Drosophila melanogaster: one gene and its partners. The protein of the gene in region 1 purifies or fractionates together with the protein of each later gene. This does not show direct contact. Each region holds a gene or a part of one and is shown on either strand. Other genes may lie near its edges. The genes, in order: lap, Csp, nSyb and VGlut.

Region 1 (6,518 bases):
CACTCATACAACATTAACATGTAAATCATTAATGACTTTTGCCCACTGTGTAGATAAGTTTGGAGGTTGTTTTCCATTTCCATTTTATTTTATTCATATTTTGTTTTCTTTGCTTGCAGCACCAACAATATCGATAGATGTATATACAAATGCACAACTAGATTTCGCTTTTCAGAATTCAAAATTCAAATGTTTCATACTCTAATGCCATACTAAATGCTAAAGTTCTGATTTACTTGTATGTGTAATTATAATCGAAGTAATTGTAGAGCAAAGGGGAAAAAATATTCAAATATCTTTTCGCATTTGGCGTGAACAAATCTTTGAGTTTGCTTTTCGTTAAATTATTGTACAATTAAGATATAAGAAGTTCTTCTTTTTTGGGTATTCTTGTGTAAACTTACATCATTTACTTGGCTTGGTTTTTAGTTTCGTATTTTACTTTGTTTTAATTTTAAAAGTAATCACTGTTTAGCCTCCGTTCTTTGACATTAAGTTGGTTGTGTTGCTTGTTTGTTTTGGGCAAGGCAGGAGCAGGACTTGCCGAACTCGACATAAGTGGCAATTTATGTGGTGCTGGCTGCTGTCTCACTGTTGCTGCACTGCTCGATGACGCTGTTTCCCTCCGCCTCGCTACTGGTGGTTGTGGAAGAACTGCTGTCGTCTTCGTCTTCATCCTCATCCTCATCCTCATCCCCATCCCCATCTTCATCATCATCTCCATCTTCATCGTCATCTTCGTCCTCCTCGTCATCCTCATATACAATTTCGTTCTCTATCAGTCGCATGTCCATGTCCACGCTGTAGAAGGAGTCAGTTATGACGCTTTCATCATCAGTGGTAGTCTCGTCCTCCTGTCCAGAAGTATCGTTATCAAGGTCCAAGTCATCATCGCCATGCTGCTGCTGCGGCGAGGAACCCTGGCTTCCCGCATCGATGCGCATCTCCTGCATCAGCTCCTTGATCAGCTCAGTCTCAATCTCGGTCACTCCCAGGCCCAAGTGTTGCTTGTTTACGTCCATCAGCACGTTCTTAAGGTTGCGGGCAAGAAGGCGCATGTGCTCATCACTGCAGGCGCTCGGGCTGGTCACATATCGTATATAGTCCTCCAAATAGTAGTTGTTGAAGCTATCGCGACTGGGATCACTGCTGGCGAACTGCTGGTGCGTTAGCAGCAGCTGATTAATTAACCAGTTGCGACCGCCCTTTAAAACTTCTATGGCATCCCGTACACATTGGCGGCCCAACTCGAAATTGCGGTACAGCGGGTAGGTGATCATTCGCCGCAGGAAGGCAACCAGTACGTCCCGATAGTTGTCGAATTGCTCAAAGTAGCAATAAAGCGGGCACAGTATGCTTCGCGTCCAGCCCGATTCACACGTCGGCTCATTGTTCGTCGTCCGCACATCATAGCATATGGCCAACAGAATGCTTATCAGCCCGCAATCGATCTCGTTTTGCCGAAAAACGTCGCACGGCTGCTGCTCCCGTGTCTGCATTCGGCTGATGTTGTGCAGCAGATGCGCTTGCTCCTGGGTCATGGAAGTCTCGTAGATTTTCGGTTTGTAGCGTAAAGGATTCTGGTGACCGGACGGAACCTGTAGCTCCACAAAATTTATTTTGTACTGCTCGCGGGAAAAGCGCTTCATCTCATCGACCACGCGCTCTTGCCGCCTTTGGATGGGGCTCATGCGATGTGGCTCCGACACGCGGCACGTGGCTCTGTCCAACTGTGAAAACATCTGTGTTTAGTGCGCGGAAGAGCAGGTTAACCAATTGAACTCACCTCACTCAGGTCTAGCGGTCCGCTGTATTCGCTAGCATAGCCGTACCCAAAATTGTTGGTCAGCTTGTAGGTGCGCTCGTGGTCGTCGAGCTGCAATTGGCACTGATCGGTGATTCGTTTGAGTTTCCATTCCTGCACCAGAGGCTGCTTGTCCGGCAAATTGGCACTCAGTGTGGGTAGGTGCAGGAATGCGGCTATGTACTCTTTGCGACTATTCCACTGCTTGGCTGCATCCCCCGTACCACCGCCTCCGCCTCTTTCTCCACCGGGTCCTTCCTGGGCACCCGCTGTTAGGGGCAGACAGCGCAGGCAAATTTGGTAGTGATTCTCTGTCGTGTTGAACTTTATCAACAGCGTCTTCAGCTCTCGCAAGTCGAAGGTGCGACGGCTGTGGAATCTGTCCGAAAAGGGAGTACAAGTACGCAATGATATCGCTGGAATTTCGCCACCATGGCCCACCATGGGCACGACAGATTGCCGGATGTGACTCACTTGTACAGCTTAACATCTGCGTAGAAATAAAGATCGTGCGCGTCAACGAATATATCGCAGTTTCTTATGCGATCCACATGCAACGCCTCCGCTTCCGCCAACCCCGACCCCGCTTCCTGACCAAACTCCTCACCAGCGGAAGAAGAAGCAGCAGCAGCTGCTGCTGGCTGGGCCGACTTTGAGGACTGATTCAGGACAGGCGGGCGGGGTATGATCAGCGTGCACGAGTTCTCCAAATAACTGTGTGCAATCTGTCCATTCAACATCTTACAATTTTATTACGAGACTGTTGATTGTGCTAACTACTGTTTTTTAGTATAATTTTATTTATTTTAATGACCAGTATGACCGCCTACTCGAAACTAAAAATTCCTGTTGACAGCCCCTTAGCTTACGTTACGTTTGGCTACACTTCCGACAAATCTAGCTACTTTTTAACTGCTGTTGGGGAATTTTAAGTGCTAAGTTATAAAAAAAGATTTATTTATAGTATCTTAATATTTTATATTTTTATTTATTTATTTATCATTATTTTTTTTTATTTTCAGAACTTATATGAACACATCGTAAAAGCTAAGTTCAGCTATTTCGTATTCGCTTACGTTATGGCAATCGATATTTTCCCACCTAACGCCGTAAACTCAAGTCGATTGCACGCGTTAGCTCCACTTTGTGGACGCTTTAGGACATTGCTCATACGCTCGCTCCATTTGCCAGTCGCCATTATCGATTTGTGGCAGAGGAAAAATAGAGAATTAAAAAATCGCGTTTCAGCGTTAGGCACCGGTTAGAGAGCGCATAAACCGCGGCGATAAATTGTGTAGTGATTGTGACGTAGGAACCACTAAATCTTTACTGTTAGTTTAATCGTGAGGCTCGCATAGCAGAGTTTTCCCGTTCGAAATATTCTCAATCAATCAATACCTCTCTGTCTCTCGCTCGCCCCATACGCGTGTGTGTGTGTGTCTCTCTCTCCCTCTCTCTGTATCTGCTTTCGAGTGTGTGTGTGTGTCGGTGTGGTCAGCTCCTTTGGTGCATAATTAAATTAATCAAGTAAATAAAAACCAGCGAGCGGCAGCAGAAACAACAACAGCAACAGCTTCATCATGACCATGGCAGGGCAAACGATCAACGACAGGCTGCTGGCCGCCCGTCACAGCCTTGCGGGCCAAGGACTCGCCAAGTCCGTTTGCAAGGCCACCACGGAGGAATGCATTGGCCCGAAGAAGAAGCACTTGGACTGTGAGTTGCCCTGTCTATCTCTTTCCCTTGCCCACTCTCTTGGTCTTTCATTGCGTAAATCACCGTTACATTTCCTTGTTATAACACAGAGAGAAAAGAGGCACAGCCTTGTGCTACTAGTGGAAATGTACCCATCAAACACACGAAAATATTATTGTTACTTTGTAACGCTTTAAAATTAATTTATTTTTATTTGCAAACATAAGTCGCAATAAAATCTGTTTAGAAATTAACTTAAATTTTAATAATAATAAAAATTGGAATGAATAATATACTAAAGTAAGGAGTGCCTAACAAATTAGCAAAGAAAATAAAAAATTTAAATGTAGCCTAAATATAAAAACCATCGGCACAGTTAGTACGCTGCAAAAGTAATTTAGCAACAACATTCAGATGCAACCAGTTCGGGTTTCTTGGCTTCCTCGCTCCATTTTCACGTGCCTTTTGTTTTTGTGCGATAAATCACAAAGTTTTCTGAAAACGAAACCACTGATTACGGTCCACAAAGTCCCACAAACACAAACCACCACCCTCAAATTGCATCTGTGGCTCAGCTGCTGGTGTTTGTGGACTCCGTTCGTCATTGATTGGACTCCCCTCTCTTTCTACCAACACACTCTCTCTCTCTCTCTAATGTTACGTCACTTTCCCACGGGTGCACGTGTGTTTGTAGGGGCTTTGAATGGCTTAAAACGCCTACGAAAGCAGGGATTGTGTTTGTCACGGTGTCATTGCTTGTTAAATTTATGCAAGAGTCTTCCCTAATTTGCTGGATTTGCTTACACGTTTGAATTTTGCAAATACTTCTAAAGAGCTCCATATCCTAACGACATTCATTCCCGTTGGAATCTGTTTTTTTGGCTAGTTTTGCTCGCATTTTGACCCCCTTTTATTTAGCTTGTTGGCACTTTTCAGATGACTCATCAGATATGGCTACGAGTAAATGGGAATAAAAGAGGGCAATATTGTGGGGCGTTACTTGTCACATAAACATTGTATTGCAGTTGCCGCAAACCAATTTCCAATATAACCCAAAATTTGGCCACATGTGCTGTTTATTCAAGTTGATTACTTTATCCAAAACGTTATGCTCAATTCAGTTACCAAAAGTCTAAATAAATTAAACCTGAGTTAAAAGTCAGTCCGTACATTTTACAAGACGTCAGCAGGTAGCATGAAATATATTTCTTCTACCTATTTTCTCTATTTTCTTTTGTTAACAACTTTTGTCCTATGATAAAACCAGTTGTGTGTTCACGGAAACAACAGCACTTAATGAGCTTTACACCGATTGAAAAGATCCCAGAATATTTCAACCAGCTACACAAGTGGGCAATAATAATTAAAATTAAGTATCAATGGTCCCCCACTACAGTGGAGTCTCGATACCCGACACATTTATTTATTTATGTATTTAAGAGCATAAGCATGCGAATTGACCCCAGCGATAACTACGCTACAGAAGTCGCCAATCGCTTTTGGTATCCGAGCACTGTAAATATTTTCGAAATATATGTGAATCAGTGAAGATTTCAAAAAGGGCGGATACGAATTTTAACTAAATAACTCATTCAAAATGTCTTAACTACTCAGCGATTTCAACGTTTTGTCATAAAGTGACACCCCCAGGCCACTGTGCTCGTTAAGAAACTCACCAGTTTCGTTTACAAGGACCGATCAATTTTCCACATTTACTGTTTATTGAAATTTGTTCTTATTTATGTATAAATGAATCACTGGCCTGGCGCCCGTCAGCCAAACAAAATGAAGCAAAAGGACGGCGAACATCTGCGATGGCTTGTGAAATGTGCAACGCCCCTCGAATCCCATGCAATTTTTTCTTGCTCGGCGACAAACACTTTCCAACCGAAATGGGAATTGATTCAAATGGAAGCGCATGATAGTAGACACAATGGGATTCAGCTCTTATCATCGACACTTTTCCGTCAGTATTTAGCTTGAATGGCGGCTGCAAGCTTAAAGCGCAGATAAGCAAACAACGACTAAGAGTCGCGACCGATAACGGGACGCAAAAAACAAGATGATTAAATTTATGGGAGGTTCGGTTATTATAATAATAATAATCTTTACAGAAACGTTGTTTGTTTCTGGAACAGATAAATTGACTTTTAAAGTTTTATGTTGCTTCTTAAACATGTAAACATTTGTTGTTTTGCTCATATGAACTAAGTTTTCGTAAAAAAAATATACTGTTGAATAAATCTAGAGGATAATAACTAATAGTTGTCGGCGGTTATATCGAATCTGATTGATTTTTCCAATAAATGCTTGGGAAAATAAATATCAAGTCAAAGTTAATCGCAACCAAAAGTAAAGTTGAGTTGGACGTACAAAATTAAGGAAAAGAGCAAATGGTTCACTAACCGAAAATTACAAAAAAAAAAAACGTTCTTTATTGTTTTCTAATCTACTGTATGGATATGCGTTAAGAAACTAATATAAAGCTATGCTTAATAAAATGATTTTCATTTATTATTTTAAATCAATGTAAAATGTTAAATTAGTTTGTGGTTGCTTTGTGTTAATATAAGTTTCATACCTTTATTTAATTGCAGATTTGGTGCACTGCACAAACGAGCCGAATGTGTCGATACCTCATCTGGCCAATTTACTTATCGAGCGTTCACAGAATGCCAACTGGGTCGTCGTCTACAAGTCGCTGATAACCACACATCATCTGATGGCATATGGCAATGAGGTTTGTATTTGTGTATTTATCGGAATCTAGTGTTTGTGCGAAGCTTAGGGGCGTATTTCAAATACATTTTTACTTTCATTTAAGCGTTCGAAATGAGGTAATCTATTTTGTTTGATTTAATATACAGATGAATAGGTCACGTACATCATGAGATTCTTATTATTTTCCTTCTTGTACCTTTAATGGCAACTTATTACTGCAGAATTACTCTTTTGGGATGACCTCTGACCAAGTATATCGTTGTGTGGTATTTTACTTTCAGTTTTTGTTCGTTCAGTT
Region 2 (9,543 bases), on another chromosome or scaffold:
GTGGAGGTGGTGCGGCGTGGTGGCCGCAGGCTGAGTACCGTGAAAATGCGGATAGGGAATGCCGTGGGTGTAGGCTGGAGCGCGCGACAAGTACGGCGTATTGATGATCTTGTCGTCGAAGCTGCGACGGAAACTAAAGCCCTTCAGTGAGTTGCTGTAGTTTCGGTGAGAAAGCGGCGAGCTGCCCAGGTCAATGCTGGCCGCCGGGCCCAGGATCCCGGCAGTTAGACCGCATCCTGAGGAGGCGGTAACGCCGCTGGCCGTCGCCGTGGCGCTACCCAGCATACTCAGCGCAGGTGAGGTGCGCAGCTGAGGGCTGCCGCCCACTCCTCCGCCTGCACCGGAGGCCGTGGTGGTCGAGGTGGAGAGTGGCGGCGAGATGGCACTCAAAGTGGAGATGCCGCTGTCACTACTACATATGCCGGCCGGCAGTGACGTGTGGGTGGGCGAGATGAGGTGTGGGTGGTGGTGTTTGCCATTTGCGGCACCGATGAGGCCGGCCATGCCGCTACTGGGCAGTACGGGAGCCAGGATGCCTCCCGGGATGAGTTTCCTGATCTGCGCGGGGCTGGTCCTCGCCCTGTCCTAATGAATGCTGGGAAGCTAGAAGCAGCTTCCTCGCGTCTTTGTCCTCATCGTTGGCCTGCGCCCTTTGTTCCTGGTGAGGACTTCGTATATCATTCCTTGTGCGTAGGAAAATCAATGAAGGGACGCGCTTAAAACATGCATTTTAAGCAGCGCTTTTCTCGCTTTGTAACCCAAATTGCGCATGAAAAAAGTAAGGCGAAAATCCACACACGCACGCACACACTGCCACGAACTGGTTCGCGATAGAAGAGGGTTTTTCCACGGTCTGCCCTCAATTGGGCCTATTGGATTCCCTTTCGCCTTTCTTCGATGCTTTTGGCCAGGTACGTGCCCGTAGTCTAGTTAATAGCGGAATTGATTTATCCTCGACAAATAAAGCGAACACATCACATTTTCCACTTTGTGTTTTTGGCAGAAGCAGCAGCACGGAAAAGTCTTCTTTGTCCGCACTTGGCTCGAACTCTCCGACGGTCTGCCCTCCGGGTTCTGAAGCGGAAAACTCTGCGGCGAAGTTCAGCGATTCCGGGGAGCGGGCAAAGCGCATGTGCCGGCTGTGGCCCGTTACTGTCCCAAAACAAAACAAAGCCCGAGCGGAGAGAGTGAAAGCTAACTGCAAGCAGCTGGCGTCGTCGAAAGTTCCATCCCCGAAAATCAGTTTGTTTACCATCCTGGCAGAGCTTTTCATGGGCAAAGCCGACTAGGCAATACCCTTTGTAAAACAAAGCGGTGAGTTTGTATAATAAATTTATTTCGGCTTCTTCGTGTTAGACCAGAATACAATTGAAATTTGGAAACAATTGTTAAGTTTAAATTTAGTTTACTTAGTATTTTTGCTTTGACTTGTACGAACAATAAATACACACGCAAGACCGTAAAATGTAATTATTAATAATTGAATTTTATATATGTATGCGTGTTTATACTATAGATGAGCCGGCGACTCTCGGATCCCGGCCCTAGACCCAGGCGCCCAAGGACTTTTATCCTGGCCCGGAGCTGATCGGCAATAATTGATGTCAATGATTTAGAATGGGATACTACAATATAAAAGTTAATTACTGCTGGACTAATCGCATTCATTTACATTTAAAAGCGGGTTAACAATCAAACAAAAATTAATTAGATTCAATTCAATTTTGAAACAATTTGGAATACATAAATATGTGCAATACTTTCGGGGGTTACAATTCAACTTTTGATTACTCGTATTTAATTGTTTTATATATAGAGGGGATTATTAATATCTGTTATATAATTTATATTTGCGTTAATTGGATCGCCCTTCAAAGTGTCCTCTTCTTCGTCCTCCTCTGTTTAACTGTGTGATGCTTAATTGTTTAACTCGTATTTACATTTGCATTAGAATCGGATCGGAGCAATCTGCTGGGCGCGTCGCTCGACAATTCATCCTTTTTACATAAGTAGTTCTGGCTTTAACAATTTAGTGCAAAATAACAGAAACAATCGGTGAAGAGGAGATCTCGAGAACAAATTAGCTAGACTAAGCGACGACACAAATGCCACAAACTAGATACACATATCATATACATATATATAATTACAGTGCCTCTCTTCGCGACTGAATCCCAACTCACGGGCTAAGCCGCAAGGGATCCGATCCCCAAGCAAATGTCTAGACAAACTTCCGATATACAATTTCATCAACACCGAATGGTGTTTTGGTGATTAGCATGACTGGATAGGTGGAGATGGTGGCTTCGCGGCTTGGCTATCGATTCGAGTTGTATAGTGGTACAGCTGCAAGGCTAGATGCATGGCTTGAACAATGGAATTGGTGAATCGATTGCCCGAAGTGGACCAAAATCAACCTGACTGACCGGAGGGCGGCCACGAAGTTCGATAGTTTAAAATTAGAGCTAAGTGCTACGGCTTAAAATAAATACATTGGTTTCTATGTTTACTCGCTTCAACATATCGCGCATTTTAAAAACAACACTAATAATTATGAAATAAATCTGGTTTTCTCTTCTGTTACGATTTAGGGGCTTGTGTTTTCTGTGTCTGTATCTGAATGTGTGGTGTACGCAAGCACCCGGGTCTTGACTCGCTCGCAGCACTTGACTAATATTTTTGATTAACCATATCTAGAGTGAAGAGAGGGGGAGAGAGAAGTAGACAGTGATAAGTGAAAAGAAATCAAAATGTACGCGTTGCATAAGAAACGATAAAACTAAAATCCGTCAAACTTAAGCTACATTCTTTGAATATGTCTTGGATGGAAATTAAAATTTTCATTTCATTTAATTTGCGAAAGCTTGGAAAACAATCTTGAAAGGAGGTCTTTAAAATGGGGGACTTGAGTACGGCTGGCGCAGACCTAAGGAACGAAAGGCTGAGTCAATCAATCTATTCATTGGTCATCCTGCAGCTCGGGCAGTGTGTGGTAATGTAATTCAGCATGCAGATCTAAGTAAATGGATCCCATATTCGCGTGGACATGTACAGAAAGTGACTAAAAAATACCTTGCCGGATACACGAGCTTACTGCTAAGGGGGTGTTGATCTGATCGCTGGACGGGGTATGTCGACTGGTGACTGAATGCCTTCGCCACCTATCCAGCGACCGAAGGAAACAATATTTGTTCGATATATGCACAATAACAAGTTCGATGGTCAAAGACGCTTTGTCGGATTGCCAAACTAGCGGAGGCTGGCTGTGTGGTTGACTTCTGGACCAATTGCTTATATACCTGGCGTGTAAGTGGTCTGCTCCGTTGTGTTTAGCGACGTATTCTCGTTAGCTGCTACAGGGGCGCCGGTGAAGGGGTTTACTCCCACGGCTCCACTGGGCGGCGGCATGGCGAAAACAGGCTGTCCTCCGGCCTGTTCCCGCGGCTGTGAGGTAACGGGGGCTCCGCCCGCACCCAAGTTAACGTCGTCTAGGTCAACGTCCTCCTGCGGGACACAAAAGAGTGGGATTAGGATTTCTGCCGGTATTTTAGTTTCTGCAGCAAGTTTTGAGAGCTTGGAGGGAAGGTCCCTTAACCAATGTTTAGTCAAAAACTTTCGGTGGGCTGCCTACAAGCCATGTATGTACACTATTCTACGGTTTAGTTACGACCACTACATTACTCTTGTGCTGATGGATAGAAGGACCCTTCAAGCCAAATACTACAAAATTAAAATCAGCCAGATGACAGCATTGAAAGAAAATCATAAAACATTTACCAAGTATTTACAGCAGTACTTTCAAAAAAACGACGTTTTTTTATTTTGTCATCTCTTCCTCTGTTCTCTCGATCAAGTTAGTTTTGCGACTGAATGTTAGCTTAGTAAGACGTGTTCCCTTGGAACATATAAATTTCGATTGGTTACCGTTTAAGTAGAGTTCGGATTTGGTTATTGGCTTTGTGTTATTTGGGTGGTGGGTGGGTGGGTGCCTTGAGCCAGGTGGAGGCGGTAGGCAGGCCGCAGGTGATCTTGCACCTTTTTCATGCGGTACTCGTGCTGGTATTATTTTCGATTTGCATACTTACAAGGCGTGGCGGCTGTCCCAGATGCGTTGGCATATCGTTGCCCTCCCGATTGCCATCGGGGCGCTGACGGCGAGGTCGAGAGCGAATGTGTGGTGGTTGTGGGTGGTAGTAGGTGGTGGATATGATGAGTCGATCGCAAAGATTTTTGAGAAAAAAAAAGAAGTTAACCAAAAATAGAAACGTAAGTCTATAGCTTCTGTTCCTTAGCTTGCAAACTAGCAAAGGAAGAAGACTTCTAATCTGGGTGGTTTCAAAATAAATTTGTATGCGCAATGGGACACTTAAAAAACAAGAAAAGCAATCGTGGAAAAAACAATAATCGTTGCACTGTCTGTCTCGAGAAATCCGAGCGTGTATGTGTTGACGTTATTTATTATTTTTTTTATGGAGAGAGAAACGTTGGAAGCATTTGATGATTTTCGTGAAGTACATATATACAAAACAAACACTAACAATAAATTATACAAAAATTGTTCGATGGATCGGAAAAGTTTTAGGGTTAGTCGTGTTTACCTCTGGTCTCAAAAATCAGTATTCTGATTACTTCAGTGTCTGGAGAATTGATAATCGGAAACCAAAACCAAACTTCATACTTACCCAAAATAAACTAATTACAAAGCAGTGCAATCAGAGTAGTGTTTGTACGGAGTAGTGTGAGTAAGGGAAAACCAATCGAGGGAGATGGTGTGCCAAGATAGCTGATAACCCAGGAAAATTATACTAAAAAATGGTTAGGCGTTTATTGTTCGGGCAGCTGTTAAGTAAGCGTTGATGTCAGATGTAGGGGCTCGTTTTTGACTAAACATTAGCTTCTCAGAAGGAAAAATGATACAGATCTCCCCACAAAAATCATCAAAGTTGGTTTGTTAGGTTCGTAATAGTACAGTGTGTGGGTGGATGGGAAGCATGCGTTAAAGTTAATGTTTTAGCTTTGCACCGGATTGGTTTTCTTGTTTTCTCTTTTCTTAACTAAATCAAAATGATTTCAGTTATTGGCGGGCTGTGTTGGGGCGGGTATTATATTTGGACTTGGCTAAGCCAAGTAACTTCACTCACATTCAGATGTGAATACTGATCGTGCGACTCGTTGACCGGCGGCTTGAACTTGCCGCAGCAGAAGTTGCAACAGCAGCAGCAGCAGCAGCAACAACAGCATCCAGTGATCACGGCACAGCAGATAACCACCGCCTGCAAGGAGAATCAGAGATTAATTAATGTGCCTAGGCATGCGAAATACCGCGATTCCTGACCTTTACAGCCGGTGAAGTGACCACGAAGTATGCGTTGACATTCTCCTCGCCAAACTGCTCGGCTATGTACAAGCCCAAAGAGCCGTAGTTGTCGTATATGTTGCGCTTCGTCTGGTCGCTCAATATCGAGTGGGCCCGGTTGACTTCCTTGAACTGCAAATATATTAATATATTTATATTATATATTATATTAATATATTAATACGCATGGACCCATTTCTCGGAAATATTTTACCTTATCAGCCGCATCCACATTGTCCGGGTTCTTATCGGGATGGTATTTGAGTGCGAGTTTCCGGTAAGTCTTTTTAATATCATCTCCGGTGGCTGTCTTCGGAAGTCCTAAGATCTCGTAAAGCGAGTCGCCAGATGTCCTAAATAAATGAAAATCAAGTGAACATGGTCTCTGTATTGCGTAGGATTACTATCCACGTCTCCGCATTTGGAATTAAAGGTTGATAACCACGCACAGGTAAGACCTCAGGAACCACTGCGTGGACCTGCCTAGCGCAGTTGCACTGTGCCTCCGACATTCCTTCAGCTGCGTATGTTACATTCTGACAGAGGGCGATAAGGCCCAGCCATCGCAAGTAGTATTGGACTATGACTCACCGCAGCAACAGTTAGCCGTGGCACGCGATGGGAGCTCATCCGGGCGAGCACTTGGCCCTCAGGGCTTGCCTGCACCCACGGACTAGGCGTTGGCATTGAGGGCGTCCAGTTCGAAAGCAACTGGCATTGTTGGCTCTGCAGCAGGGTCGCGTGCAACATAAATTGCAATCTGTATGGATTTTCTTGAGCAGGTGGGTGCTATTTATAAACTTGGTAAGTTAAGGGGGTTGGGGTGCAACGCTGTGTATGCCTAAACCCGCTCTGAGAATCTGCGAGCTGATAAGGCGGCGAGCGCTCGACAAAGTGGTTGAGGACCACGATGATGAGGGTGATTACAGGCTCAAGCGGATGCGTGCCCCAGGGACACTGGGCGGTGGGCGACTGCACAGGGCCAAGGACATTGGCAGGCATCATGACAATCTAAGCCAACTCGAATTCGCCTGGGCCAAACTGAAGCGGTTAGTGCTGGCATTACTCATATAGGGTACAATTATAGAGACGGCTAACGCGGCCGTAAAACTTTCTGTCCGATAACGGCCAGGCTGGTTAGTTAGTTGGTTGTCGTGTTATTGGATCTGTAGGTCTGTTGTTATCGCGCACTTATGCCGGAATCGGTATGTGTTGCACGAAGACCCAAACATTGAACAATTTAAATAGAACAATATTTATAAAATGAAGTATTCGACTCATTTTTTCTCTATTAAACAATTGAAATCGTGCGATTTGCGGGCAAAAGAGGTGTGGCCAACCGAGAAGAATGCAAGAGGAAGAGGAGAAAGGAAGAGGAAATTCTCATACTGTGTAGTTATAATGTGTAATTCTAATAATGGTCTGTATGTATTACATAGCACATATCTGAATGATATCGGCTCGAGTCTTGATCGATGATGTGCGTAGCCTTTTTTCTACCTTTTACATTTTCCTGCCTAATGCAACATAAGTTGAAACTATGCCACTAAGATTTTAACTAACGATTATTGAAATCAAATAAAAATCGAATTCCGTCAAATGGCCAAATTTGTCCTTGGCCTTGCCCAGGACGAATTCGCTTGTCCGAAATCAAACTCCAGCCGCAGCTGCCCTCCCCTTCCCACTACCGGAGCCCATTATTACCCCTGACCCGGTTCCTTGTTTATCCCGACGTGGAAAGGAAAGTGCCTGCTGGCTCGAGAAAACTTCTGCCGCGAAAAATCAATTTCGCGCCGACCGCGCTGCCTGCGCGCAGCTGCTACTCACACTCGCGCACGGGCTGAGTGTGTGTACTCTGCCGACGGCGCGTGTGTGTGCGCCGTGGAGGAAAAATGAAGGAGCACTACAAAATACTTACGACAGTTTTCTCTTGTCCATGCCAGGTGCGCTCATCCTGATGCCTGTGTCACTTTGACTGCGAACGGGTAACTTGCACTAGCGATCGCTGTCACACGCAGTGAAAGTCTGTGCCTGCCAAGAACCACAATCTGTGCGTGTACTCTTATAATTGCAGTTTTTGACGTCCGTACCGATGCCTCGATTCTTATTTTTTTCGCAACGAAATTAGAGATGGAACTGAACCGATGTTCTATCTTATCGGTTTACCTGCCGACATCAATGATTTCCAGCTCTGGACTAACACGCCATCTATCGCAACATTAATAGCTGCTGTTACGGGACTCACTGTAAGAAATCGCATCGAAAGTGTGCACCAGAGAACTGCAGCAAGCCACTGGCACTCCAAGTGCACCCGCTAAACACTGTTGTATCTAGGCAGCCGGGTGTTTTTTGACACTCTACTTGCGGGAATAAAAAATATCCGACAGTTTTTTATTACGAGCGCAATAACCTTTTCTGGTGAGCGACTCACAAGCAACGATCGGCCGCAGGTCATTTTCTGTATGCATAAAATTTGTATGGGCGGAAGCGAGATTGTCTAAGAAATGAAGGGTGAAAGGGAACACCCAAGGAAAAGGTCGTGCACGTGTTTTTTTTTTTTTGATGCAACCCATTTCGCAGAATATTTTTTTATTAATATTTTTTTATTTAAAAATTAAATTAAGTTTTTTAATTATACAATTACAAAGTTAAATAAGGGAAGCATATATTAAGAACTAATAATAAAATAAAAAAAATTGTCTATTTCGTTTTTTTTTAAATTATTTAATTAAATTAAAATTATTTACAGTTTTGTAAAAAGAATGTAAAAAAGAGGCTATATACAAATTTTGGACTTAATCCATAATCTATACTATGCACCCCTCCATTCCAATTTCAATTATTTAGGAGTAATTTATACTTTCGATACGACAGCAACCGTTTTATATCGGTACGTCTTACGAACTTCTATTAAACCAAAAACTAAGCTAAATTGCATGTAAAATCATTAATAACGATTATATTCAGTTTGGCCGGAACGCCCTGCTCCGCTTCATCGGTCAAAATGTACTAACGCGTGGCACACGCCACACAGCTGCTGTGACACATATGGAGTAGAGTGGAACGACATGTTGCGCCTGTAAAAGGGAATCAGATCGACTGGGATTCAATTAAAAGGCGAGCCGCAGAGCTCCGAAGCGATTCTGTTAGGATGGGCGAACCGAAAGCCACCGCAGACCCTGGGGAGGAGCAGGCCTTCAACTGCGAGGACGAAGCCAACGCCATAATTAACGATGTTAAGGCTCACGTCGCTGAGATTTGCATCTCATCCAAACTGGCAAGCGATGCCACGCAAATTTACCTGAACATCCGGACTATCGAGAGCGCCACTTGCTGCGTTCAGGTGAGCAGTCGTGGCTTCAAGATCGTCTCCTCCCAGTACGACACCATAGACGAGGACAGCCGGATCTCTGCACTGCTTCGCAACGGACAAGAGCAAGGCGACGACGAGGAGGAGGAGATATTTGAAACGCCGTACGCGCTGCTGGACAAGATCAGCCCCCGCTACGTCGAGTCGTTCGGCAACCAGCTGTGCCAGCAGCTTAGAGCGCTGCAACAGATGCGAACCGAGTTCAACGAGGAGGACGAGGAGGAGGAGGAGGAGGCGGAGGAGGAGGAGAAGAAGTGACGGTAACCGGACTCCAGCTTTCAAACGAGGCTGTTTACTCTTTAGACAGACGATTTTAATGTTAGTTTAATTAAATGTTTATTTTTAATAGCAGAGCTTGAGCTCCGACTTCCTACATATACAAAATTGTGTGTTTGTGCCGCAAAAGTATTTCCGCGTGAGTTGGTCTTGCACTTCTCAATTCACCACATCCTTTCCTTGCATAGCAAACAAATGTCGCTCCAGATCCGCGTTAGACCTTAAGACGTTTCAAGAATAAAGATTGTGATTGCAACTCTAGCTCCGTCAGTTTGCGTACAGTTGGCACCAGCTGCTCGACGTGGTCTTCGTAGCCGCTGCCAGTTCTTAAATTCTTTTGACCGTACACGACCTTGCCGTCGAAGTCATTAACTGGCACATCCATGGTCTTGTCCACCTGCTGGATGGTGATGTTCAAGTGGTCCTCAACTTCGGCCAGTAGGTTTGGTTCGTTGTACCAGATGCAGCATCCTCGGACTTCGGTTAAGTTTGTGTTGTTGCAGCTACGGCCGCGCGACTTGCACCACTCGCCGTGGTACCA
Region 3 (9,496 bases), on another chromosome or scaffold:
GATCCTGATTGGCTATCGGTTGTGATGGGGGCAATGTGTTCGGGTGGAGTGTGTGAGATCTAGATATCATATCGTTACATACACGTACATATATATGCTCTAATTACCGCCTCGTCTATTACTCGTAACATTGAAATATACAAACATATATGTATGCCTCGTCGAGCTAACTAAGTCCTGTGGATAACCAACGTATTTTGTGTCTAGCGCTTAATTTAATCGTTGAACTGTCTGGATTCCGCTTTCAATCGAACCTTTCGAGCTATTCTCAAACACAACAGTAATGATAGCGCGCACGTAAACAAAACGCAGCAAATGAATCGCTTGTATATTTTCACTAGACTTTGGGATTATTAGCTTTTGCTGCTGGCTTCATTTCTTTTTTGTTTGTTGTTTTTTTTTCCAGCCGACTACGCTTGCTGTTTTTGTATAAGTAAACTTGCTTGAAAACATTTAACTGCCTTTTCTCTGGCGGCCCGTCGATTCAAATTCATCTTTTTGGATTATACATTTCGAATATCATATTTGCGTAACTTTACTTAGGAACAAAGCTTAGATTTCATTTCTTTGGTTTCGCGTCTGTTCCGAAATAGTTATGATTCTGTTAGTTTTGTCTAGTCGATTTGCTAAGGAAACTGAGTTCAAAGAGCTGCGAACATCGGGAAGCGACCGCCTGTCCTCCTGCTTCCACTGGCGCTCCTTGTTGCCAGTGCAGCGTAGAGATGCTAGTTCCGTATAGGGTGGTAGTACAGGGTAGTGGTTGGAGTCACTCGTAATATTCAAGTTCCATATATTTGTATTTGTATTTAGATTTGTATTTATATTTATAATTATATATACCGTTTTATGCATGAAATAATGTAACCATAAACAAATTAGCAACAACTTCAAATTGTCCGGAGCGTCTGCATTAGATTTAGTATTAATATTATGACGTAAGTTACTTAAAACCTCTCACACCAACTCGTGCACATCGTCTAAGTGAAAATTATTATTGAGTTTTCATTGCAATTCTCGAGATTTTCTAGTTTAACTGAGTTTTCCTTTCTTGGTTTTCTTTTGTCTTCTCTGCTTTGTTTTCGCCCGCTGAAGGAGCACACTAATCGAGAAACTTTCGTCCTGGCAGCGGGATTGCTTACACGCCGCCGTGATCGCCAGCTCCTGCCGATCCTCCTGCTCCTGCTCCGTCTCCTGCTCCTGCCGCATCCACCAGCGATGACTGTCCTCCGGCTGGCTGCTGCGGTGGCGGCGGCGGTGGCTGCATGTACTGTGGGGGATACTGGTACTGTGGCGGCTGCTCCCCGCCTATGAGTCCAAGTTTATCTGTTTTAAAATGATGCAAGAATTAGTAGGGCACGACATGTGATGGCTCTTTGCGCTCTTTAGCCAATCTCAGACAACGATACACGAGTATACGCCAAAAATATTACACTTCAAGGCTTAAAAGCTCACTCATGACGGAATATAGCAAGTGGACATGGGATGTGGACGGTGGGTGGGGGCGGACAGCAGGGACAACTGCATCGAACAGGTATGGATATATATATATATATATACATATATATTTATGTACATTTAGGCAGTCACTGGAAGCTGTCTTCCTTTGAGCCTCCCGAAGAGAAGTCCTCTCGCTTTTGGTGCAATAAACTTAGGCCAATTTTAAAATACATACAACATTGAATTGTAAAAATCAAATAATAAGGCACTAATCACACATAGACATCGATTAACTCACATACATGCGGCTAAGGCTGGCGGTAAACGATGAGACACCGTTTACAGCCAGCCGAAATAATATAAAACCAGAGGAACGGCGGAAACGGAAGTGGGAGCACAAACGGAAACGGAAGTAAGAAGAAGCGCAGGTGTCAAATTACTGGGTATGATTATTTGCATTGATATGTTGCCGTTTTTTCGTTTGCTTACAGTGTATCGGATTAGATCGATTTTGTCAATGGTACAAAGAAAGTGTGAAATGTTTTCTTTTCGATTTTGATTAATTTTGACTATGGTTCTACGGATGCGTCTTGGTGGTTAATCGATGGCTGATTAGTTTGGTTGGTTGGTTGGTTGGTTGGTTGGTTGAATGTTGGTTTTCAAGAGAGATCGTGAGCGTTCTATTGTCCAGTCGCCACTTCATTCGACGGACTCTGTGGGTGGTCGGTCAATTTCTCGGCCAATGGTTTCTCGAGTGTCGGTGGTTCAGATTTTAGATTTTGTGTATGGTGGTGTGGTTGTAGTTGTTGTTCTTGTTGTTGTAGTAGTTGTGGTGGTGGTGGTGGTGCTGAATCAGGTGCAGTTGCCGATGCCGGAGCCACCTGCTGCTGCAAGGCAGGAGGCTGCGGAGCAGCATTATCATCCGACATGTACGGTTCTACGAGAAATTTTTCGGTGAGTTCATGTTGTTGTTTAATTCAAATCGATTTGTTTTCAAAGCGAGCAGATAAAGATGATAACAATAAAGTATAAATATAGAAACGGTTTTGAGCGATGTAAAACAAAGGATTTATCAACTGGTGCACCTAGCAATAAATGTGGCGTATGAGTAATAAATAAAAGATTGCTCTCGCTGTTTACCTCACACACAAAGTGTTATATTGGGTAAATTGATTTGCTTATGGTTAATAAAATTGTACAAAGCTGAAGCTTTCTGTGTGATTATTCTTCGTCTTTCTCTGTAATTGTTCAAAAATATGGTTCGGTGTTGAGAGTGTGTCAAATCAAGGTGAAAACATTAAAAAAAAACTTAGGTAAATGAAGAAGAATGGCAGTACTTTATGCTTTTGCTGTGGTTCAGTGGCACAAGAAAGGCTGGCTTTTCCAATCCGAAGGCCGTTGCGCTTGCGTGGAGGCTTAGTAACGAGTAACGAGTAACGAGTTGCGTGAAGGCTTAGTATTGAGTAACGAGTTACGAGAAGGGACTACTTTTACTGGGGAAGTGGATTCAAGTTTTGTATTTTACACAGGACATGGCACAGTCGTGTGTCTGTGGCTGGGGTGCTGCTGCCAATATCAGAACGAAACAAACGAAAAACGGATACGGATACGGATACGGTTAACGAAACACTGAACAAACCACAAACTTTACGATTACGGCTTACGGGAGTTAGAACTAGCTAGCTAGAACTTAAGGTCCTACGGATAAGGCTAACGGGCACCATTGAGTATCGGTCCATCTCCGCCAGATCGGCTTCTGGCCGGGGTCCTTCCATTGTCGTCCAGACCCTCAGCCGCAACCCACATGGACGGAGCTGGCGGATCCGATACTCGGCGTGATCTCAACTTGATTACTGGTGGTGGTTAGGCAACGTAACGAAACGAAACAACACAGGACACGACTTTCAGTGGGCATCAAATGAAATCTTTACCGAACCTGTGCGTATGCTCGTATGGAACCAGATGATGTTGGGCTTGGGCATACATGGTACACAATACAAATACTCGCATATGTATGCCACTTAGCATTTAGTTATTGTTCTAGTGGTGGCTGAAGCGCATGACATGATATGATCGATCGATCTATAGTTATGGGAATTTCGCAAGGCATCTAGGTCGAATCGGTTGAGCGAACGGTCAGTTGGACTGTGAGTTCGCAGCTCTACTCATAGCAGTTGTGAATGAGTTGAATTTGGTTTCGGTTTTGGTTTCGATTTGGATTTCGATTGGTTCTTATTGGGTTGATTGATTGGCTTTTGATTTGGTTTCGATTTGCATTGCATTGCGGCTAAGAACTAAATTCTTACGGATTAGATAGTTAGCAATCTACATAAAGTTACCTAGAGAAAAAAAGTGGCGGAATTAAGAACGCAATTTAGATTCGGTGTGTAGATAAACGAAAGCGATTTGGGCCAACGAAATCAGCGCTAAATCAAGGCGAACTCAAAAGACAAACACAACTGGGTAACTGGGTGATCTTGAAAGTATCTTCGGTTCTGTGTGTGCGTGGTGAGTCGAGTGGTGTGGTGTGGTGTGGCGTGGGTCAAGGTCAGTTTCTCTGGGGTATGTGTGTCCCAGAAATGAGTGCACCAAGTTCGCCCAGGATCTGTCAACTTACTTGCAATAATGCCCACGACAACCAGGCCAATCACGCCCATGATGATCATCATCTGTGCGGAGAAAACAAAGATTGAAGTTCGGTCCGACAAGGTAACTGCCATCGTCGCACTTACCTTTAAGTTCTGAAGCCAGAATTTCCTCTTGAGCTTGCCCGCCTGCTGCTCAAACTGCGAGGCACCCTGCTGCAAGGCATCGGCACGGTCGTCCAGCTCCGACAGCTTGCTGTCGCGCTCCAGCACCTTCTCCACGTTCGTGCGCATGATGTCCACGACCTGGTCGGGGATTCAGGGTTGCAGTGGTTAATGGAATGGCTGATCTGTGATCGACTTTCAGTCCCGGAACTCACCTCATCGACCTGCGCCTGCGTCTGCTGCAGACGCTTCTGTGCCGCGATCTGCTGCGGATTGTGTGGTCCGCCCACAATCTCGCCATCGCCGCCCTCTCCGGCCGGGGCTCCGGCATTGGGTGGTGCATCGCCAGCTGGTGCAGCGTCCGCCCTGCGGAGGAGGTCGTCATTAGTCATCGGATGCGAGAACAAGAATAGCTCGGGCCAAGATTAATCAACTTCCAACGGGGGCTCTCGCATTAAATACAGTACTTAGATTACACAAAGAGTGGGTGTGGGTGGGTGGTTACGAACGACTATGGTTTCTAGCTTTAATCGAAATATCTCCAAGATACGTGTGGGCTACGGACAGTGCTGGAGTATAGTTCTAGCCAGCTACCCTTTAACTTGGAGAGACACTTACTGTTCCTTGTTCTTGTCTTTCTTTCCCATCTCAGACCCCCAAAAACTTTGACCTTTAACTCGGCTTCTGGGCTCTGCGGGGCCAAAGGAAGGGAAATTGTTAATTTTAAATAAAAGAATTACAATAGGCGAAGCTACTTATGCTGGACTAGTTTGTATGGTTTCTACGTGATGCATATTTTTTAGTGAAACAAACAATAGAGTGAAGTATCTCAGTATTATCCATAGTCATTTGGTCATTTGGTATTGGTTATTGTTGTTGGCAAAATGTTTTCATCGAACCGTATTTCCCTTTCCCACGACAAAGAAAAAGAAATCAATATCTTACCCTAATCCCTACGACCGGCGACAATTGGTTTTTTTTTTTTACCTACGTGGAGGGAATATTTTTGGATTTCTCAACTTTCCCCGGCTTTTATTGGCAAAATCAATTTTATATGGAATCAAAGAGCATTATCAACAACTTGTATGTGTGTATAAGACGAGCTTTTCTTTTGATCATGACACATATCTTATGTTTGGTTTCAAGCGACCAAAAGAAATAGGTGCAACTTAGTTTGCATGTCCTGACTCACGGGTGCGAATCGTGTTTTTATTGATTTTGCGGTGTGAGAGACTTGGCCATGTGATGCCACAACGTCATCGCCAAGTGATTCATGCCTAGCGAACCGAAACGGCAGCTGCAGCTGGCCCGTGTTCCTTTTACGGATTTTACGGGCGCGAGCACTTGGACAAATGACAAATGAAATGAGCGACCCATGCTGCGTATACTTAATGCGGCTATCAAACGAGCATTCCCTCTGTGACGGCGAAAAGCAAGGCGGGGAATCGAAACCCCCATTTCCCCGCCGGAAAACGAATCAATAACGTCCATCCACTTACATGGCTCTGGTGGCTGTGTGGTTGCTTCTGTGGTTTGGCTGGTGGTGCTCTGGTGGCCTCAGCGAATTCGGCTGTCGATGATTAGGATGAAGGTACTCTATGCACGATGCACTTGGCCTCTTTCACTGTCTTCCACTGGCGCAGGTCGGGATGTGGGATGGTCAGTGGGCGGTGGTGGCGTTGGTGGTGTAGGTAGTGGGTGGTGGTGCAGCTGAACTCTGTTTCGTTGTTTTTGTTCTAGAGGGTTGCGCTCTCAGTGCCGCTTCTCTCTCTCTCTCTCTGTTTCTCTCTCTCTCTGTCGCTCTTCCGCCAGAGCTTTTTCGCCCCGTCGTCAATGAAAATTCACTCCACTCCACGGGGGGATTGGCTGGATCTGGATGATGTGTATGTGTGCGGGTAACACTTGCCACGACAGCCTTTCGCAGGAATTTTCTGGCTCAGCGCTGGAACTGCTGCTGAATAGAGTGCGAAAATAGTTGCAACTATTTTTAGTACATCGGTTAATGCTTGAAATGGGCAGCTATGGGATTCTAATTGGGACGTAAGAGGACTATTTGGGTGGCAGCAACACGCCCAGCCATGAGGCATGTCCTTCCTCATTTCCGTTGCATACCCCCAGGGGCACCTAAGATGTCTTCAAAATGCAAAACGTTTTAAAAATAATTTCAAGTGCCCAACTGGCCAACGTGGGCTCAGAAGAAAAAATCAATGAAATTCTGCACGACAAGGGTTTTCGCTGACTTTGGTTGACATTTCGTTTGATCTTCGTTTTCCTAATCAATCAGTTTTAGCACTTTTGATCAGAATCACTTTACTTTTGCTCGGGCAACTTGAGTTTACAAAAACCAGGCTTAACTAATATTTTACGAATTTTTTTACGCAGCACCAGGAAAATTTTCACTTACGACGTTTTTGGCCAACTGCGAAAACTTGCAGCTTTCCTAACTGTTATGTGTATTTGGGGAAAAAGCTGCCTGGATGGCCAGCAGCGAATGGTGTTCCAGCGAGAAGCTTTTCCTTAGCGATTTCCAAGTGCCGATGGCCAAGGGGTGGGAAATTTAAAAACAAGCCGGGCTTTCCATCAAGAAAAAGAAATGCTCAAAGTTCTAGTAATATTACAGTTTGAAGTTTTAACTTTGTATTTTTAAATATATCGTGTAAATAATTATATCAATTGATTTGAACAAGGTTTAAAATGCACAGAACTATTCGTCTAAATTGATTTAAAGCGGTTTCCTGAACTTTGTCTGAATCCACACGCGGTACATTTTCAAGCCGCGACAGCGATTAACTTGCAGTCTTCGGTCCACAATGAGCTGCTCCTCCTGCAGCCCCGCTTGAGTCATCATACCCCGCAGTTCTTCCTCCGTGAAGAAGTACACCATGGTGCCGTCGCCTCGCACGTAGAAGTTGTCCTCCATACACTTGCCGCTCTTGAAGCGCAGCTGTGCCAGGTCGTATCGTCCGTAGTCGCGGAAGAGGAGCAAGCCACCGGGACGCAGGTAGCGATAGCAATTGTCCAATACCCGCTGCATTTTCTTTGGCTCAATTGCGGACAGCACAAAAATCATCACAATAATGTCCTGTGAGTTTTCCTCGAAGGGCACCTGCCAATGATCCAGCGTGGCATCCATGACAAACACCTCGCAGCGCTTCTCGTCGAACTGCCGTTGGCTTCGCAGGATTTCAATGGCCCGGGCGGAGAAGTCACATCCGAAAACCTTGAGCTGCGGTTCAGAGCTGTACTGTAGAAGGGGTAAAATTGTGTTTCCTACTCCACAGCCCAGTTCGAAAATGCTACGTGGTTGCAGTACCGCCGAATCCGCCGCCAGAGGAGCTAGTTCGGGGAACTCCGTAAACAGCCAGTGGCGATCCTTGAAGAAGCGGTTGTCGTGAATGCCGTAGAAGGAATCCCAAAACTTGGGGGCGTCTGTCTGAAATCGCTCCTTCTGCTCCGCTTCCATCTTTGAGGTCGAATTCTTGGCTACAGCCGCCTTCGCGGCCAGTTCCTGCTCTTCATCCCATTGCACGTGGTCCCTGTGAATCCATGTTTAGAGGGATTTTCATGAGTACTGAACGGCAGATAAGTACCAGGCGTTAAACTCGAACACCTCTCGCGCGTCGGTGAGCACCCGGCTGCCCGCTCCCGACGGTTTTTTACGCTGGCGAGTGTGTTCCCAACTTTTGCTGGCCAATCTCCGGAGGATTTGCCACCCATATTTACCAAGCATTGTGCTTGAAGACGTCGTCAGCATCCGTGAGCAGGCGGGTTCCGAACTGCGGTCGCTTTTCGTTCTCCGCGGCGGGGTTGTCACTCATATCGGACAGGAATGACGGTATATATCACCTGTTTGTGCGATCCAAATTATATATTTTGGTAAACACGCCGCCAGTGTGGCCGTGCACCGATCCAATAAAGTTAAACCGTTAGTATTTTCGAAGCGGCTCTCTTCCGAGCGGGAAATCGGATGTACCCGTTATCGCCCTTTTTTCCAAAAGCAATTGTGAAATATGTGTTCTATGTGTGTTTAGTTTGTGGCGTGTTGAGTACGCATCGAGTTTTTACCGAAACCCCTTAGAGAAAAGGGAAAAATAAAGTTGAAAATTGCGGGCAAATGTAATCGTGCTGCCAGACCATCAATAGTTTATTTTAGGGATGTACTCGTGACTGAATACCTTGGCGGATATCGTTTCATGGTTAAAATGCATGATATAAAAACTGGTAAATTAAATATGAAACCCGTAGGTAAGTAAAATGAATATGTATTGTTATGTTTGCGACTTATATCCATAATTCGAATGAATAATAAGAATAAGTTTTTGGTGCTCGTGCCGTGCTTTTGCTTCCATCGCTACGTTTTGACTTCTCCACTATTTCCCAGTGGCAACGCCGCGTCAGTTGGTATATCAAAACCGCAAACCAACCTTTTTGTTGTATTGTGCGTTGTTTTTTTCGACGGAGGCGAGAAATTTAAACAATTAGCATTCAGAGTGCTAAGATACAAGAGCTTATTGTGTATACGCAGAAGGCTCGTCGAAGGAGCGACCAAAAGAAACCCATCCAGGGTACCGAGTTCCAGGGATTATTGTGTGCACGCAGCGGTCTGCAGAAGCACCCATAGAAACATACCCTATTCAGCGTTCCATCGAGCGGACGAATCGCGAAAACCCGTTAAAATGATGAACGAGGCGGCACTTGCCAATATGATACCCTACGACACCATCGGATTGTATGAACAGCCAAAGCCGCGCTTCATCTTCAAGATGCCTCGTGTGGTCCCGGACCAGAAGTCCAAGTTCGAGAGCGACGAACTTTTCCGGAGGCTCAGTCGGGAGAGCGAGGTTCGGTACACGGGCTATCGGGAACGAAGCATCGAGGAGCGGCAGGTGCGCTTCATGAACGGATGTCGCGAAGGACACACGGAGGCCAGCTTCGTGGCATCGGGCACCAATCTGCAGCTGGTGTTCAACGCCAACCAGAACCCGTACCTGCACGACAAGGAGTGCGACTTTGACAAGGAGCACGGCAAGGTGCACATCAAGTCCTACTTTATCATGAACGGGGTTTGTGTCCGGTTCCGTGGATGGATAGACCTGGAACGACTGGACGGAGTTGGCTGTCTGGAGTATGACGAGCGGCGCGCCATGCACGAGGACGCCATTCTGCGGGATCAGATCGATCGCTACAACCAGCGACTGCGTGAGTTCGAGGACACTAAGCGCGCCTACCGTGACAATCGACAGGACGAGATGGAGGCAGTGCGACGGGGCGTGGCCTCCGGAGGCATTGGCGTTGGCGCCAGCATGTGG
Region 4 (6,270 bases), on another chromosome or scaffold:
TTTCGTTGTTGTTGTACGACGGACAAAGAGTTGAGTCCTAAATGGAGGCATATGCTAATTAGGATGGGTAAGGCGATTCCTCCAAGTGGGGTAGTAGTAGGAAACTATGGAAATATATGATAGTTTCATGTGTCTATAAATCCAAAAAATACAGAAGCTGTAAGATAAATCTCCCACCGAACAGACATCTCAAAATCCCCCGTTTCATAGTTCGCCCCTCGCAGTTTCCATCATATCTCAGACGCTTCCAGCTATTTGCACACAAACAAAAATAAATATTAAATCTCAGAAATCGTTTTTGGGCAGCGACACACCCTTAACCCCCGACCTGCGTGATTCCCCCAGTCCCAAGGATTCGAAATGTTACTCCGCTTACTATGTGCCACGCTTATCGACGAGCACAGCGTTTAGTTTGATGATTGAGTGGGTGGACATGTGGATTGACAGCATGAGTCTGCTGAATCCACAGAAGCTCATCAATTTCCCGCCTCGGTGGGAAAACCACTCGCATACTTTTGACGATTTCAAGCTGAAATTCGAGAGCTTTTAAAGTCGTCACAGTTTCGGCTGGTAATTAAAACCGCGTGAAACCCTTTCACCGAAAGTAATCCACCGACGCCCATTCCCGTAATTCACTCATAAATCAGACAACGAAAAGCCATACATCATACGCACCGTGGGGAATCTCCCGAAAAAAGTACACAGAGATGACAAAGCTGCAAAAGTTATTTTGTAATTAGTGCAAGCGGCAAGGACGACGGGAGACCGCCGCGTGGATAAGGACACAACAGGCCCAACAGGATAATGATGATTACGCTGGCGCAATGAAATTGAAGACGACTTTCTGCCGAAGCTGCACTAATTACCGCTGACGTGCGATGGGAACTGGGAGGCCAGCGGAAGTCCTCGCCCGATTCCAGGACGAAACTCCGTCCGGGGGACTGTCAACTCAAGTTTGACACTTTTCTGCTGACAATTTATGAGAGCGGGCCAACAGCTAAGGTTACCGATTTGAGCACAGTGGGTGTTAAAGAATCATTTTGAGTGAGGAATATTATAAATTTGTCGAAATTATAGATGAATATAGCTTGCAAATCTCATATGCATATAGAACTTATTGTAATTTAAAAAATATATATATTTGACTAGCACTTTTGTAGATTGAGCTTGTAACCAATTTGAATGTTCGGTTTTTTCCACTGTGCACGATGGGCACTGACTGACACTCGATCCGGCCGACAACGTCGCCACTTAGTTTAGAGTTTTATGAGCACAATTCGCAATTCGATTATTCTTCATTTACGTCAATCAATGTGAATGGCGCTTTTAGCCGCTAGCCACGCACCCTTAATCGCTTTGTTTAAATAGTAAAACGCCGCACGGATTGGGCATTTTTCGAAATTTAATATCGCAGATGCTTTTATTGTGCCGCCGTCTTGTCTGTGGAAATCTGTCTGCCCCGAAGTCTGGCTCATGCCGTAGACGTAGTATCTGTATCTGCAAATGTATCTGTATCCCTTTCGAATGCGAAAATCCCGCTGCCGTTCTGTTGACTTTCCTTTCATTTCCCAGCTCGGCTGTTTCCTCGTCCCGCTTCTTGTTTATTTCGCTTTGCTGTTTACTTCCGCAACTTTATTATAGCTTTTGGCTGAGTTGCAACTGTTTGTTGGCTGTTTGCTTTATGCTTATGAGGGTTAGGCCAACGCGTCGTATTCGCAACGTGGCCAGGACATCTGGAGGGGATCCTGGAATGGGACGCCGAACGGAAGCGGGGATTTCTATGGGGCATGGATTTTTTCTGTCCCGTGAATCGATGTGGTTGATGAGAATCGAGGCAGTTGCTCACACTGTTGACCAGGATTATTAGCTACTTAAAGTGGCCATTGAGAATATTCAAGTTGAGTTGAGCCTAATAAGTATATGTGTTGTTTGGAACTGGAGATTCTTTTCTCTTTCCTTGAATATAATAACGAATAATAATAAACGAATCATTCTGCTTCTTGGGGCTAATAAAAGACAACTAGCTTTGGTTTTAAATAAGATCAATTTAGGATCGAAAAATCCATTAGAGTATTCTAATAAAATGAATCAAATGTTTTTTTACCGTTAGACCGCCCAGTAATTAATGATAATCCATTAGATAGATTTCAAGCTCCCAAACGTGAGAATTTAAAAAGCATCACGTCCGATTCGAATCGATCAAAGCCAAGAGCAAAGGACTTATTTATTTGTAGCCGGTCAGACTTCACGATTCATATTGAAACGCTCATCCATAAATCGTAGCATTTTCCAAAAATTCACCAAGTTTGGAGCTATTTTGAGCCCCCATGCAGACAGGGGAAAATATTCAAAATGGCTGACATTCTATAAAAAGGCGGCAGAAGGACGCAGGACGTCTGTGTGCCAGGAGGAAAACAATGGAAAATGGCCTGGCAACATGTTAATAGCATTTCACGCACGACTGAGATTCGCATGCCAACCCAGAGAAAGACATTCCCATGTACCAGGACCTCTGATTGGTTCTTTTTGGCCAGGTGGCGTGCCATTCCCCCACAGCTGTCCCCAGTCTCAACTGCTACAGTTGCCATTCGCCGTCAACCAATGCCGAAGGACGAAGGACTCTCGAAGGATTCTCGAGCCTGCGCAGCTGTCGCCTGCGTCGCGAGCTTTTCACCACAGCGGGTGCGAACGGGACGGATGCGTTGATTATGCTGCGGAGGAGCATAATCCTCTGGCAGGACATCCATCTGGGCAGACAAGAAAGGCGAATGCGGGCGCTTTTAGTTTCACTTCGTGCGTTGTCCTGCTGAGGCCAAAAAGCGAGCCTGGAGCTGCGGGTATATAGCTGGGAAAATACATCTAAAATATACCAATAAATCAGAAAATATAGTTCAAAATATCCGAATAATCGTGCTAATATAGCAAGTGTTTCGAAAAAGTGCTGCCCTCCGGCTAGAAGTTGAGAAATCTACGTTTTTCTGGCAACGCCTCGTAATACCCTTGAAAAGAAAATCTCGCACATTCCAGTGGTTGAAAATTTCCAGTGTATATACTACGCTCCTCCCACCCCTTTAACACCCCATCCCACATTCGCTTCATCACTAGTCCCTCCGTACATATACCCCTGTATGTGATACATTCCAGGCCGCGATGGCAGCTTATGTATCCATCTTCCGCTGCCACCTGTCCTCCGCCGATCTTTGGCTGGAGGTCCACAACGCGGCTGATTTTGAGTTGGACGTCACACAGTCTTCAGACAGAGTTGGATTCGGATCACCATCGTCCTCGTCGTCGTCGTCGGTTCCATAGACAACCTGCCGCCGGTCTCGTGGTCAAACTCTGTCTGGATGTTGTCGTCCCACATACTGAGTTCTTAATTGGTTTATCCAAAGTTTTAAGTTTTTCACTTTAGTTTCATTTCTATTTTTGCGGGCGAGTGTTGCTTAGAAAATGTGAGACTTTATATAAATAAATACAAAACATCTATAACGATATATTTTAACACATTACCAAGAAGATATATATTGTTTTAAAAAATTCTTCTAATTATATTAAATCACCTAATTCCATATCCCTTTTTATCCCATTTGCAGCGTATCGCGTAGTGAATAATCAAGCTATATAATCTGTTATCTGTGTACCTTATTTGTGATATCCTAACCAACAACAACAAAATAAATTAAACGATTTTCGTTGTCTACTAAAACATAATTTAAGCCAAGTTAATCACCAAAAATATCTGTGCTTAAGTTACGACTAGAGGCCGATTATATAATCTTGCACCAACTACGAAATGGATTACGTAACTCTGGTGTGGCATGTAAGTAGGCGTTGTGGCCAAAGGTCAAAAGTACAACTGTTTTGGGGGAGGAGCTTCCAATGGAATCATCTAAAGAATTTTGTGAAAAACGCCAAAGAATGCGTACATATATACTTTACATTTAGTTTCGAAATTCCTGATCTAACAAGAAATAAGCTAGTATAAAAAATGCACAAACTTAAAACCTATGATTATTTCCATTGAATTTGTTTTCTTATTATAAATTGTAATTCTAATAATTCCAATAATCGTAACATTGCTAACTCTTTCGAAAGAGATTACCCAAATCAAAAGAGGTGTCAAATTTCATGCTCACACCAAATGAAGCATAAAACGCTATCAAAACCGCTCACAATGCCAGAAATATTTACAAAATGCTCTGCCGGCTCAGTAGTTACCCCTCATCACAATCATTTCGAAATTCTCGTGAATTTATGAACATAAGCGGCTTACAAGAAATGTGCAAAATGATGAAATTGTACGAGACTTTTGCTTATCAGCAGCAGAACACAAATTGCCGGACCCATTAATAGCCGCATACAAATCTCTTTTGCAGGCACTGTAAATGAAAATGCACAAACTCCACGAGAATCGAAATCATATGGCGACCAAGTGAAAATCCCCCGCTGAGAGAACGAGCCAACCCGAAAATAGAGTCATCAAATTTGTGCTGGCTTCACGGAAATTAACCGCCGCCGATTCGCTACGCTTATATACACGGCAATCCGCCGTGAAGTAGGCAACAAAATATATTTATGCGCCCAAGTGATAACGGCGCAAAGGCAACGAAGCACAACAGACGCTGACTTGGGCGAAAGGACAGCAGCAGGAGCAGGACTCGTTGATCCGGAGGCAGGGGCGGAGTGAGGACAGGCGTCTGGGAAAATCAGGACTACTAGCTGAGCAGCAAGATGAAGGGTCTGACGGCGTTTAAGGAGAAGGCAACGGGCGTGTTTGGCGGGTGAGTCGATGTGATATGATATACTCTAGTAACACCAGACAGCAGGGTTTGGGTCTTAAAGAATATTCAGATTTATAAAGGTTTTTTTTTTTTACCAGCAAGAGGATATATTTAAGCATAGAAAGCAGATCTATATGTATATTTAAAATATATCCTCATTTTGTTGGCAAGTGTACAGCGATGATGGGTGGCAATATGCCCGAAATGAAATATGATTGCAATCAAATGGACCTGCGGAGAACAAAAGGGAGAGAGTTTAATTTAACGCAAGGATGGTCGGTGCTCGTGGTTGGCTGAACTTGACCATGCCAGGATAATGCAGTAAATATGTACCGATATTGATACGCACTGGCGACTAGCCGGCGTCGCGAAACTTCGGCACGTGTCGCGCCCCCCCCGGAAAGTTGTAAAATTATTGGCATGCTTAACAAGTCATTAGAGGGGGTTTATAGGGATTCTAAGGACTTGGGACTTGGCACTTTTCACTGGTGACAACGAACGCAGTGGCATGCGGACGAGCTCACCGGTGCGTCAGGAATTCCGGGCACGTTGGCAGCACGTGTCCGGGAACTTCAACTCCGGCACCTTCGATTGCGGACGAAACGCAATAAAGTCGTGCCACTGGGACATATTGGGCAAACACTCGATGAATGTGTGTGGTCGTGGTATGCAATTTGATGGGCACACCTCGTCTGATTTCTCAAGGACCTTGAGTGCTAAATTAGAAATTGGAACAATAGGTGGCACATCGCTTTCATTACGGAATTTGTTGCATACCGACGAAGGCTGCTGCAGCGCTTAAGGCAAATGAAATTGATTTTTACGAGCTGCGAGCCGTTTCCGTTTCCGTATCCGTATCCATTGCCAACAGGACCTGGCGCTGAAGCGCTCGAGTGGCACTCGGCGCGAAGAAATTGAAATGCCTCGTTGGGGGAGTGCTCAAGGAGTTCCTTTATCCTTGCTAGTGAAAATGAAATTAGAATTGCCATTGAAGACGCGGTCGTGTCGCTGACAAGCCCCCATTCTCCCACTCCCCCTCAGTGCCAGAGCATCTTCATCACAGTTGTCAGGGCAAACAAACTAATACACTCCATACAGCTCTACATATACATATATATCTGAGAATGTGCCCCATTTACATCTCTAATGGTCGCGTTTTGTGGCCACGTTAAAGTCAAAGGCGAATTGTACAAAAGCCTTCTGCTTGTGGCGCCAGTTATCCTTAATCTGGGCGGCGACAAAAAGTCTGCAACATTTTTACTGACAATCAATGCGGAACTTGAGCGCCAAGGATAGTTTGGCTCATCTTCAAAAAATTTGGTGTCTAAAAAATGCGACGCTGATATGTTCTAAAATGAATATATAAAAAAAAAAAAATAAATAGTCAATCATTGAAAAGTAACTAGCTATTTCTATTTAAAAACCTTTAAAACCCTGTTATCATTCATATTTATGTGACTGATTTTTCAATGCCAAGATCTTAATATAT

Evidence for each region.
Region 2: the proteins of lap (region 1) and Csp purify together in Drosophila melanogaster (affinity purification with western blotting, with the first as the bait; one study listed by BioGRID). This does not show direct contact.
Region 3: the proteins of lap (region 1) and nSyb purify together in Drosophila melanogaster (affinity purification with western blotting, with the first as the bait; one study listed by BioGRID). This does not show direct contact.
Region 4: the proteins of lap (region 1) and VGlut purify together in Drosophila melanogaster (affinity purification with western blotting; 2 studies listed by BioGRID). This does not show direct contact.

Annotation. Positions count from the first base shown.
Region 1 is NT_033777.3:7,184,028-7,190,545, forward strand, and holds the start of lap (like-AP180), read left to right. Parts: upstream 1-2,966; 5' UTR 2,967-3,384; coding exon 3,385-3,520; intron 3,521-6,096; coding exon 6,097-6,239; intron 6,240-6,518. Other genes in the region: CG10055 (uncharacterized protein), read right to left, coding at 567-1,730, 1,787-2,183, 2,279-2,544. UniProt on the Drosophila melanogaster protein: Assembly protein recruiting clathrin and adaptor protein complex 2 (AP2) to cell membranes at sites of coated-pit formation and clathrin-vesicle assembly.
Region 2 is NT_037436.4:22,265,519-22,275,061, reverse strand, and holds Csp (cysteine string protein), read right to left. Parts: upstream 7,681-9,543; 5' UTR 7,310-7,680; coding exon 7,275-7,309; intron 5,710-7,274; coding exon 5,571-5,709; intron 5,489-5,570; coding exon 5,336-5,488; intron 5,274-5,335; coding exon 5,142-5,273; intron 5,131-5,141; exon of another isoform or gene 4,842-5,130; intron 4,149-4,841; coding exon 4,086-4,148; intron 3,505-4,085; coding exon 3,300-3,504; coding exon of another isoform or gene 3,292-3,299; exon of another isoform or gene 2,694-3,291; coding exon 2,671-2,693; 3' UTR 1,764-2,670; downstream 1-1,763. Other genes in the region: Srpk79D (Serine-arginine protein kinase at 79D), read right to left, coding at 1-504; CG11523 (uncharacterized protein), read left to right, coding at 8,508-8,984; Ddx1 (Dead-box-1), read right to left, coding at 9,217-9,543. UniProt on the Drosophila melanogaster protein: May have an important role in presynaptic function.
Region 3 is NT_037436.4:1,631,132-1,640,627, forward strand, and holds the start of nSyb (neuronal synaptobrevin), read right to left. Parts: upstream 6,544-9,496; 5' UTR 6,502-6,543; intron 6,482-6,501; exon of another isoform or gene 6,428-6,481; intron 6,142-6,427; exon of another isoform or gene 6,139-6,141; 5' UTR 5,689-6,138; coding exon 5,687-5,688; intron 4,879-5,686; exon of another isoform or gene 4,835-4,878; coding exon of another isoform or gene 4,806-4,834; intron 4,554-4,805; coding exon 4,403-4,553; intron 4,329-4,402; coding exon 4,170-4,328; intron 4,107-4,169; coding exon 4,055-4,106; intron 3,777-4,054; coding exon of another isoform or gene 3,763-3,776; exon of another isoform or gene 3,374-3,762; intron 2,676-3,373; coding exon of another isoform or gene 2,659-2,675; exon of another isoform or gene 2,578-2,658; intron 2,375-2,577; coding exon 2,118-2,374; 3' UTR 1,927-2,117; intron 1,324-1,926; coding exon of another isoform or gene 1,136-1,323; 3' UTR 1-1,135. Other genes in the region: Mettl2 (methyltransferase like 2), read right to left, coding at 6,910-7,723, 7,778-7,941; Bgb (Big brother), read left to right, coding at 8,864-9,496. UniProt on the Drosophila melanogaster protein: Involved in the targeting and/or fusion of transport vesicles to their target membrane. Major SNARE protein of synaptic vesicles which mediates fusion of synaptic vesicles to release neurotransmitters.
Region 4 is NT_033779.5:2,397,514-2,403,783, forward strand, and holds the start of VGlut (vesicular glutamate transporter), read left to right. Parts: upstream 1-2,781; 5' UTR 2,782-2,837; intron 2,838-3,237; exon of another isoform or gene 3,238-3,452; intron 3,453-3,593; 5' UTR 3,594-3,820; intron 3,821-4,376; 5' UTR 4,377-4,731; coding exon 4,732-4,781; intron 4,782-6,270.